3 linked regions of the Mus musculus genome follow. The protein of the gene in region 1 interacts with the protein of each later gene in a pairwise test. Links are inferred from orthologs where the notes say so. Each region holds a gene or a part of one and is shown on either strand. Other genes may lie near its edges. The genes, in order: Ywhag, Tnfaip3 and Fam53c.

Evidence for each region.
Region 2: the proteins of Ywhag (region 1) and Tnfaip3 interact in binary tests that used the Homo sapiens proteins (3 or more experiments, as listed by UniProt). The link is inferred for Mus musculus from reciprocal best matches to the Homo sapiens genes YWHAG and TNFAIP3.
Region 3: the proteins of Ywhag (region 1) and Fam53c interact in binary tests that used the Homo sapiens proteins (3 or more experiments, as listed by UniProt). The link is inferred for Mus musculus from reciprocal best matches to the Homo sapiens genes YWHAG and FAM53C.

What each region holds. Positions count from the first base shown.
Region 1 is NC_000071.6:135,910,592-135,914,244, reverse strand, and holds part of Ywhag (14-3-3 protein gamma), read left to right. Parts: intron 1-2,593; coding exon 2,594-3,250; 3' UTR 3,251-3,653. UniProt on the Homo sapiens protein: Adapter protein implicated in the regulation of a large spectrum of both general and specialized signaling pathways. Binds to a large number of partners, usually by recognition of a phosphoserine or phosphothreonine motif.
Region 2 is NC_000076.6:19,000,328-19,002,981, reverse strand, and holds the end of Tnfaip3 (tumor necrosis factor alpha-induced protein 3), read left to right. Parts: coding exon 1-251; 3' UTR 252-2,072; downstream 2,073-2,654. UniProt on the Homo sapiens protein: Ubiquitin-editing enzyme that contains both ubiquitin ligase and deubiquitinase activities.
Region 3 is NC_000084.6:34,765,684-34,769,336, forward strand, and holds part of Fam53c (protein FAM53C), read left to right. Parts: intron 1-2,484; coding exon 2,485-3,269; intron 3,270-3,653.

The sequences.
Region 1 (3,653 bases):
GTGGGGCTTCAGTTTCTCCAGAGACCTGTGAACTGGCCTGTGGCTGACCATCCAGGTGCTTGCTCTCTGCAAACCGCTGTTGAGGTTCTCGGACGGAATGTAAAGAGTTAAGGAGGAGACTGGAGGGTCAGACCAAAGAGACCAGACAGCCGTGGAGGTGGTTGTTGATGAGGAAGGCCGAGGCTTCATGGGGAGTCCTGGTGCTGAAGACCGTCTTTCCATACTTGTAGCACGTACTTCATCATGAATTAAGCACTCCACAGTGCCTCAAGCTTTTAATCCAACCGTGCCAGAGAAGGCCAAGTGTTCTAGGTCAGCCAGGACTACATTGTAGTGAGACCTTTAGGTCTCAAACACCTAAAGATACTCGGGAACATGCAGAAATCTTTTTTTTTTTTTTTATGGGTATGATAGTCGGACTATAGCTCAGTGGGTAGAGGGCCAGGCTAGCATGCCAGAGGCCCTGGGTTTGATCCCTAATACCACCTAAAAAGTAATGGTGGGGCCACACAGATACATCAGTCAAGGCCTAGAGAAATGCAGCCGCTTGTTCCTCAGGTCTCCTAACAGGCTCTTGTCTTCTGGGGATTTTGTACTGACTAAGAGGTCCGCAGAACTCAGCAAGAGGTAGGCAGGTTGGTCCACACTTCACAGTCAGCCCACCAGCACAGAGCCTAGAGCACAGCGAGTGAGAGTTTGAGGCAAGGTTGTCTGACTTGTTTGTTTTTTGGGGTTTTGTTTTGTTTTTTTCCTTGTCAACTTGACACAATCTGTGGGCAAGGCGTTTTCTCTCTATGAGTGATAGGGGCTGGGGGTGGGGAGCAGGAAGTGAGGCTCAGCCCACTGTGGGTGGTACCAACTCCGGGCTGCTGGTTTTGGGTTGTATAAAAATGTCTGCCGAGTGGGAAGCAAGCCACCAAGCAGATCCCTTCCCCCATGTCCTGACTTCTCCCAGTAATGGAGTGTGACCTGAGGGTTATAAGAAGAAATACTACTGCAGGGAGGTGGTTGCACACGCCTTTAATCCCAGCACTTAGGAGGCAGAGGCAGGCAGATTTCTGAGTTCCAGGACAACCTGGTCTACAAAGTGAGTTCCAGGACAGCCAGGGCTACACAGAGAAACCCTGTCTTGAAAAAACCAAAAAAGAAATACTACTAATTATGTGTTTATTTATTACAGCAGCAGAACCTAACTGAGGTGGTGTCAGTCTATATCCCTCCAGGGCCTGTGGGCACAGGGTGGCGACAGCATTATAGCCACAGGCTTCCCTTGTCTAGCTTGTAGTCCCGATGGAACTGGGGCCTCATTCTTAACTCCTGCCGTTCACTAGGAATGAGATGGTTAATCTCGGGTACTGGGCTCAGGGCGAGGGCGGGGTGCAGTGCATATGAGGTCCTGGGTTCTAGCTCCAGCACTAAGTGGCTGCCATACTTGTCCCCTCTTTTTTCTTTTCCCAGTACTGCAAGTTGGAACCTAGCATGCATAGCTGCAGCCCCAGTCCTGAGAACTGTTGTAGCCATCAGATGGTATTAAATCCACTTCCCTAGTCTGCTAAGATTCCACAGTGGTCAGGATCTTTAGTTGGTCTTTTCCTTTCCTCCTTTTTTGTTTTGTTTTGAGACAGGATCTCTATGTAGCTCTGACTGCCCTTGAGTTTATTATGTAGAGCAGACTGGCTTCAGACTCAGATATTTTATGTCTATGGCTTTTACCACATGTGCCTGGTACCTGCAGAGGCCAGAAGAGGACATTAGATCTTCTAGACTTGTAGTTAGAGATGGCTGTGAGCCACCATGTGGGTGCTAGGAAGTGAACCCCAGGTCCTCTGGTAGAGCAGCCAGTGCTCTCAAACTCACAGAGATTGCTTGCCTGCCTCAGCTTCTCAGGTTGGGTTTAAAGGTGTGCGCCACCAACCTCCTGGCTTCTCCAGTCCCATTTTAAATTGGGGGGGGGGGTGTTTCAAAACAGGGTTTCTTCATTTATTTATGTGTGTTGGGGGAGTTTATGTGATATGTGGAGGTCAGGGCCAACTTGAGAATTAGTTCTGGCCACTGTAGATCCCAGGGGCAAACCTGTGTTGAGGCTTTATAATAGGCCACTTCACCTTCTGAGCCATCCTGCCTGGCCCAGTCGCCCAGTGTCCACTTCCTGTCGATGTATCATCTGTTTGTTGTTAGCATAGGAGTAGAAAAACTTCCTTTTTGCTCAAAAGTCAACTTTTAAGGGTGACTCATTCTTTCCCAGAGGGACCATGACTCAAGTAAGAGCACTGGTCAGCTTGAGGATGCCTGCTCTCTTCCTGAGAACATGGCCATCTCATGCTGAGAGTGCTAGGTGTCCATGCCACGGGAGAGGATTTGATTTGTCCTTAGGACAGGCTGACGGTTCTTCCGTGGAGGACACTGGTGCTTGAGACTGTAGAAGCCACCTGTGCTGCTCCTGTCACTCACTCCCCTTCCTCCCAGCCAGAGTGCAGTGTTTCTGCCTGCTAACGGTCTCCATGGTGCATGGACCTGTTGTGGGTTGATGTAAAGATAGCTTCACCCCATTGTCATCACCTGTCGTAACGGTGCTCGGTCCTTCCTCCTCCAGGTGACCGAGCTGAACGAACCACTGTCCAATGAGGAACGGAACCTCCTGTCGGTGGCCTACAAGAACGTGGTGGGGGCTCGCCGCTCCTCCTGGAGGGTCATCAGCAGCATCGAGCAGAAGACGTCTGCGGACGGCAACGAGAAGAAGATCGAGATGGTCCGAGCCTACCGGGAGAAGATCGAGAAGGAGCTGGAGGCCGTGTGCCAGGACGTGCTGAGCCTGCTGGACAACTACCTGATCAAGAACTGCAGCGAGACCCAGTACGAGAGCAAGGTGTTCTACCTGAAGATGAAAGGGGACTATTACCGTTACCTGGCAGAAGTGGCCACCGGGGAGAAGAGGGCGACCGTGGTGGAGTCGTCTGAGAAGGCCTACAGCGAAGCCCACGAGATCAGCAAGGAGCACATGCAGCCCACCCACCCCATCCGGCTGGGCCTGGCGCTCAACTACTCGGTTTTCTACTATGAGATCCAGAACGCCCCGGAGCAAGCGTGCCACCTGGCCAAGACCGCCTTCGACGACGCCATCGCCGAGCTCGACACTCTGAACGAGGACTCCTACAAGGACTCCACTCTGATCATGCAGCTGCTCCGAGACAACCTCACGCTCTGGACGAGCGACCAGCAAGACGACGACGGCGGTGAAGGCAACAACTAAGGCCCCAGGTGGACTGGCAGCGCCCGCTGATGCTACTACTGCAGTCTTTATTTTTTCCCATGAGTTGGGGGTCGGGTGGGGGAGGGGAAAGGGAGGGGTGACCTTCCCAGGGAGAAACCCACGACTGTCCTGTCTTTGATTGCCTCTTTGACATTTTTGCCAAAATACCACTAGTGGAAAGTCAGGCTAGCTATGCTGGTATGGGAGTAGCAGCCTCACACAGACGTCCGGACTGTTGTGCAGGCTCGGAACGAGCAAGCGGAGCTGTCTGCCTTTAGTTTAACTTATTGCTAGACGGTAGGGTTCTAAGAAGAAAAACCGGAGATGGATGGCCCTCATTCAGTGCGTTCTGTGGTTCCAGTAAGGATTCTTCTGTCCATGCCCTTGTCCTCAGTTCCGTGGC
Region 2 (2,654 bases), on another chromosome or scaffold:
CACAGGTAGCCTCAAGGCTGAAATGTGCCCGGGCCTCCTGCAAGAACATTCTGGCCTGTCGCAGTGAGGAACTCTGTATGGAGTGCCAGCACCTAAGCCAACGAGTAGGTTCTGTGGCCCACCGGGGTGAGCCCACGCCTGAAGAGCCCCCTAAACAGCGCTGCCGGGCCCCTGCTTGTGATCACTTTGGCAATGCCAAGTGTAATGGTTACTGCAATGAGTGCTACCAGTTCAAGCAGATGTATGGCTAAGTGCGAACACATTGACAGGTCCAGCAAGAAGGAGCCTCAAACTGCCATTCACAGTGGTACTGTGATCCAGACCCCTGAGTGCCACAGGAAGGGTAGGCCCTGGGACAGTGGCTTCAAGTGTCTTTGAGCAAGTAGGCAAGATAAGCTCTTCCTTCGTCACAGCCATGACCATCAGGTTAGTAACCGAGACTTTGCCCTGGTGAGCTGAGAGTAGACCTGGTTACCGGCAGTGCATGATGTCAGGGTCAGCCTGAAGCTATTGCTGCTCGTCTACCAGGAGGATGTGGAGATCTTTAGACACGAAATGCGTGCTAGGACTGGCAGCAGTTCCTGAGCCTGGCTGCCAGGCAACAGGAAGAAAGGCGTATGGGAAAGTAGGATGGAGACTGGAACCATCCTACTGCTGCCAGCTGGAAGCTTTTCTCAGAGAGCCAAAGCTGAATTCTCAGAGCTCCAAGGCCCTCCACAAGATGCTAGAGGAAGCTCAGGGAAAAACAGGACGTAGGCGGAGCACATCTGTGGTCAATGGGCTTCCCTATCTGCCGACTTGGCTCCCAAGGTTCTGCAGGAAAGCAGACCTGCACACAGATCCCGTGGCTGCTGAAAAGACACATGTTCACATGGAGACAAACCAAGCTGCTCGCTCTCGGCTGTATGCACCTTCTAGACAGCAGAACGTCTGGTGGGAAGACATGCCAGTGTTGGCCATTGTCTCCCATTCCAAAGAGAATAACTTTGAACTGAGGGTGTGTATCAGAGTATGTACATATGTAATATACCCTTATATTATGTATGAGGGATTTAAAATATTGAAATGGTTTCCTAGTGGTAGTAGGAAGACTGAATAAGAACAACCTATTTTCTGGTTGTTGTCAGCTTGCCCCTGTCTATACAGCTTGTTACGTGAATTCAACAAGCTGTCTTCTTAACGGGAGCCCTCATTCTGGTTTATTTATTATGAACTTCCAAGTTATTTAAATGAAGATTTCCTTCTGCAGTATTTTCTTGAGATAACATATTTGCTTTCCACCATGTCCTGGGGGCCTGGTTAGTCCCTGGCCATGGAGTGTGGTGGGATGGCTGTCTTCTCTCTCCTTGTTACCTCCCTAGGAAAGAAGGGGTTGCTTTATGGATAAGCCTGTAGAATCGGCTGCTTCCTATGACTCCCTGGCTGCACAAGAAGAAATTGTCTGTCTTCCATATATGCTTCTAAGTATCCTACCTCTTTGAAGAAAAGATAGGGATGGAGTGAGGTGACAGTGGGAAGGGACACAACTACATGGCCTTTCATGACCCTGGCTTACTGTGTAAATGCTGTGCCCTTGGGTACTGGATAGGAACACTGAGAAAGCAAAGCCAATAGCCGTGAGGACGAGGAAGTTTCTGCCACTGCTTGCAGCTTTTCTGTGTGCTTTGGACTTGCTTTAGGAGGGAAATATAGCTTTGTAGAGATAAAGGCTGACATCTGGGGTCTAGCCTAGCACCTGAAGATACTTGTGATGTCTAACTCTGCATAGCCTTTTCTCTTCATATCTGCGGCCTATCTTTTCCCCTTACATATGTCTTTGTCCTTCTTTCCCAAAGATGTCAAATACAATGCAGCATTTTCATCTTGTTCTTTCAAAGTTAATAGTCTATTATTTTATGTCTATTGATTTTCATTGTTAATGTGAAATGGTTATTTATACTTATAGAAAGTTTGTGAAATTTGCACAGTTGTCTTTCAAAGGATAGGATCTATCTTTTTTGGACTTCAGATTGTTTTAAAGAACTGTAACTTCACAAAAGTCAATATTAAAAAATAAATTATTTAAGAACAAATTCTGATGCTTTCTGTTAATGAGTGCTGGAAGAAGATAGGCTCAGATGTGAAGAATTTGATGTATATCGAGCCATGGGTGAAACTCTTACCCATGGAAAGAATGATATCTTCTGAAAAATAATTGGGGTTGGAGAGATGGCTCAGTCCATAGTTGCATGCTACTCGAGCATTAGGCTCTGAGTTTAATCTGTATTGCCTGTATACAAGCTAGATGTGGTGACATATGCATATAGTTGCACATGCATGCACACTAAGAACATGCACGCACGCGCGCGCACACACACACACACACACACACACATGAAATAATCAGTGCATGAGAGTAAGGATATGTACTCCAGTGCTGCAGACCCTCTGGGTCCCTTTGTCTGTGTGGAAAGGGTCTCTAGTCGCAGGTGGGCAAAGAGTTGGCAAATGACAGACAGGCCAACATGCAAGATTGTGTAGAATCTGAATGTAATTTGTCAAATTGAGCATCAAACTTTTTATACAGAAGAAAATAGGGAAGTTAGGTGATACATCGGCAAGGTACAAATGAGGTTACCGGATGCTTAATGACTTTTACACAAAACAGAGGAATC
Region 3 (3,653 bases), on another chromosome or scaffold:
GCCACCATGTGGTTGCTGGGATTTGAACTCAGGACTTTTGGAAGAACAGTCAGTGCTCCTATCCACTGAGCCATCTCTCCAGCCCCGAGATTCCTGTTTTCTATTCTTTACAAAGGACTTCTGTTCCTCATGCTTACACAGCAGGCGCTTGCCTGCCTAGCCACCTCCCCAGAACAGCAGTAAATAACTTTTTCCCTAGGTCATTTGTGATATGTGAAAATACATCTGAAATGCAGTTCCTCAATTGTGCATTAGCCCAAGGCCTGTGGTCATGAGCTAAGTAAGACAAGCAGAAGCTCTCTAGCCTGTGTAGCCGGGCTGCCTCATATCTATCCTGAGCGCCTGGCAAGGGAGGCGAGTGGGCAAAAGCTGCCAGTCGCTCGCTCTCTCTCTCTCTCTCTCTCTCTCTCTCTCTCTCTCTCTCTCTCTCTCTCTCTCTCAGAAGCACTTGTTGAAAGCCGGTTTCCGTCCTGAGGGTCCGTGCTCCCTGCCTTGGGATGGACAGGAATGGGAAGAACTGTTGACTTCTGTCATCAAGTCTCACTTCATATTACTTTGATTTGTGCCTTTTCTAGAGAATTCTTGAAAAAACTTAGAAAATAACTCACTATTTTCCCTAAATTGGTCTTGCATGGGAATATAGAGGCAAGGGGTTGAGCAGCTCTTGAGAGGTGGAGGCAGGAGGCTATATAGCAAATTTGAGGCCAGTTTGGATTACATGAGACCCTGTCTCAAAGAAGGTCACAATTTGGGGGGACTGGAAAGATGGCTCAGTTGGTAAAGTGCTTGCGTTGTAAGCATTTGGTTTGTTTGGGTCCCCAACATCCACATCAAAGCCTGATATGGTGGCACAGTCTATAATAAGCCTGATATGGTAGCACAGTCTATAATAAGCCTGATATGGTGGCACAGTCTATAATTCTAATACGTTAGTACCTAAAGAGGTAGAGACAGGTTGGCCAGCCAGCCTATCCAAATTGATGAACAACAGGTTCAGTGAGAGTCCCTATCTCAAAAAAGGGGGTGGAGAGAGCAGGCAGAATGTCATAAAGCACTTGGTAACCTCAGTTTCCTCCATAGGACCCACTTGGTAGAAGGAGAGCTATTTCCCCAAGTTGTCCTCTGACCTTCACATACATGATTGTGATGTTAGTACACATAACACATGCATATACCGATAAACAAGTGTAATATAAAAAATAAAGTGAGGTAGGTAGTGATTGAGGGAGACATCAGATGTTGACCTCTGGCTCAACATGTGTGGGCTCTTATCCATTCTCACATGAACATGGGTACACACGTGAATAAGAACGTACACACACTCCAGAAGTTGCAGCTGTGGTTAGAATGCAGTCCAGATCATTTCTTTTAGCCCATTTCCTTTTCTTTTCTTTTCCTTACCTTTGGTAAGCACAGGGAGTTAGCCCAGGTTGGCCTCAATTCAATATGTCGCTGATGATTAATGTGAACTCCTTATTTTTTCACCTTCATCTCTGGATTCCTGGATTATAGGACTGAGCCCTACCCGGCTTGGTCCTCCAGTCTTTGGCTTTAAAAGAAGGCCTCAAGCCAGGCAGTATGGTGCACACCTTTAATCTCAGCACTTGGAAAGTAGAAGTAGGTAGATCTCTGAGTTTAAGGCCAGCCTGCTCTATGTACTCAGTTTTAAGGCAACAAGGCTACATAGTAATACATAGACTAAAAAAAAATAATTTTCAAAATTGAATAATGAAGGCCTAAGGAGACAGGAAGCAGAGTATATACACAAACAGATACAGAGGGACAAACCAGCTCAGAGGCTTAGGGTTTCTCAAACACGTGTTCTGCCATCAGACCCGCAGACATCCCATTGCCTTTCCTAGGAGTAACAGTGACTTCCTCCCCGCTTTGACTACTTCTCCAGACAATGCTGCCTGCCTTACCCCTGAAGACACAGAGAGAGGGAAAAGGCCGGAGGAGGAGAGCAGGCTGGGAGCAGGGAAGGTTAGGTTGTCCGTAGAGCTAGGGGGTGAGTGGGAATAGACACACAGGTTGGTTTGTCTAGGGTTTTTGGGAGTTTTTGTTTTTTTCCCCCAAGACAGGGTTTCTCTGTGTAGTCCTGGCTGTCCTGGAACTCACTCTGTAGACCAGGCTAGCCTCGAACTCAGAGATCCACCTGCCTCTGCCTCCCAGGTGCCAGGATTTAGAGGCATGGCATTACCACTTCACAGCTCATACAGGTTTCTTGATTGACTGCATTTTTGAGGAGGAGTGGCAGACAGTGTATAAACATTCTTGGTGCCAGGTGGGTTCTCAGGCTGCAGGTAGCATGGTGTGGGTGGGTTTAGATCCTGTTCTGTTCCCTTAATAGCTGTGCCTGTTAACCTTGGACAAGCACAGTCATAGTACTTCCTTCATGGAGACTTTTGAGAAATTACATTCTGTGGTACAGTAGCTCTTAGAATATGTTAGCCATTAACCCTTTTCATTATGCATGCCTTTCAGAAGGTGCTTCCTGGAGGGGCCTGCCCCACTGTTCCTGTGCTGAGTTCCAGGACAGCCTCAACTTCAGCTACCATCCCTCAGGCCTAAGCCTGCACCTCAGACCACCCAGTCGGGGAAACTCCCCCAAGGAGCCGCCCCTCTCCCAAGTACTGAGCCCCGAACCCCCAGACCCAGAGAAGCTTCCTGTGCCCCCTGCCCCTCCATCCAAGAGGCACTGCCGCTCACTCTCGGTGCCTGTGGACCTGTCTCGCTGGCAGCCGGTGTGGCGGCCTGCCCCCTCCAAGCTGTGGACTCCCATCAAGCACCGGGGCAATGCTGGAGGGGGTGGGCCGCAGGTGCCTCAGCAGAGCCCTCCGAAGCGGGTCTCCAGCCTCAGGTTCCTCCAAGCTCCCAGTGCCTCGTCTCAGTGTGCCCCAGCCCACAGACCCTACAGCCCTCCTTTCTTCAGCCTGGCCCTGGCCCAAGATTCCGCTCAGCCCTGCGCCACCTCCCCTCAGAGTGGCTCCTGGGAGAGTGATGCAGAGTCCCTGTCGCCCTGCCCACCCCAGCGCCGCTTCTCCCTGTCACCCAGCCTGGGCCCACAGGCGAGCCGCTTCCTGCCCTCTGCCCGGAGCTCTCCCGCGTCTTCCCCAGAGCTGCCCTGGAGACCCCGAGGTCTCCGAAACCTTCCCCGAAGCCGCTCACAGCCTTGTGATCTGGATGCCCGCAAAACTGGTGTCAAGCGGCGTCATGAGGAAGACTGCAGGCGCCTTCGGCCTTCCTTGGACTTTGACAAGATGAATCAGGTGGGACTGGCAGACCAGAAGCTGTTTAAACATCTCCTAATTCCCTACCTTCTGGCAAGGCCTCCCTGGGAACTCTTCTGTCTAGAGTTTATACAAGAAAACCACCCTGGCAGTATTGAATTTTAACCTTTAATGTCTTCTGCCCTGTCAAGTTAGTCCTTAGTATTCTAAAGAAACTAGACTGAGGCCTTAAGCCTTCAGACAGGGATCCTAATTGTCCTGCCAGAGGCACTTTTCCTCTTCTCTGAGAACTCTAGACCACAGGATTCCTGTCCTCAGTGTCTCCTCTGCAGTCTCAGGGCTGGTTTTGTTCCCTGGCTTCAGTGCCCCCTGTCAGCCTTTGGGAGCTTAAGCAAGATGAGCAGTGGCTTTCTAAGCCCTAAG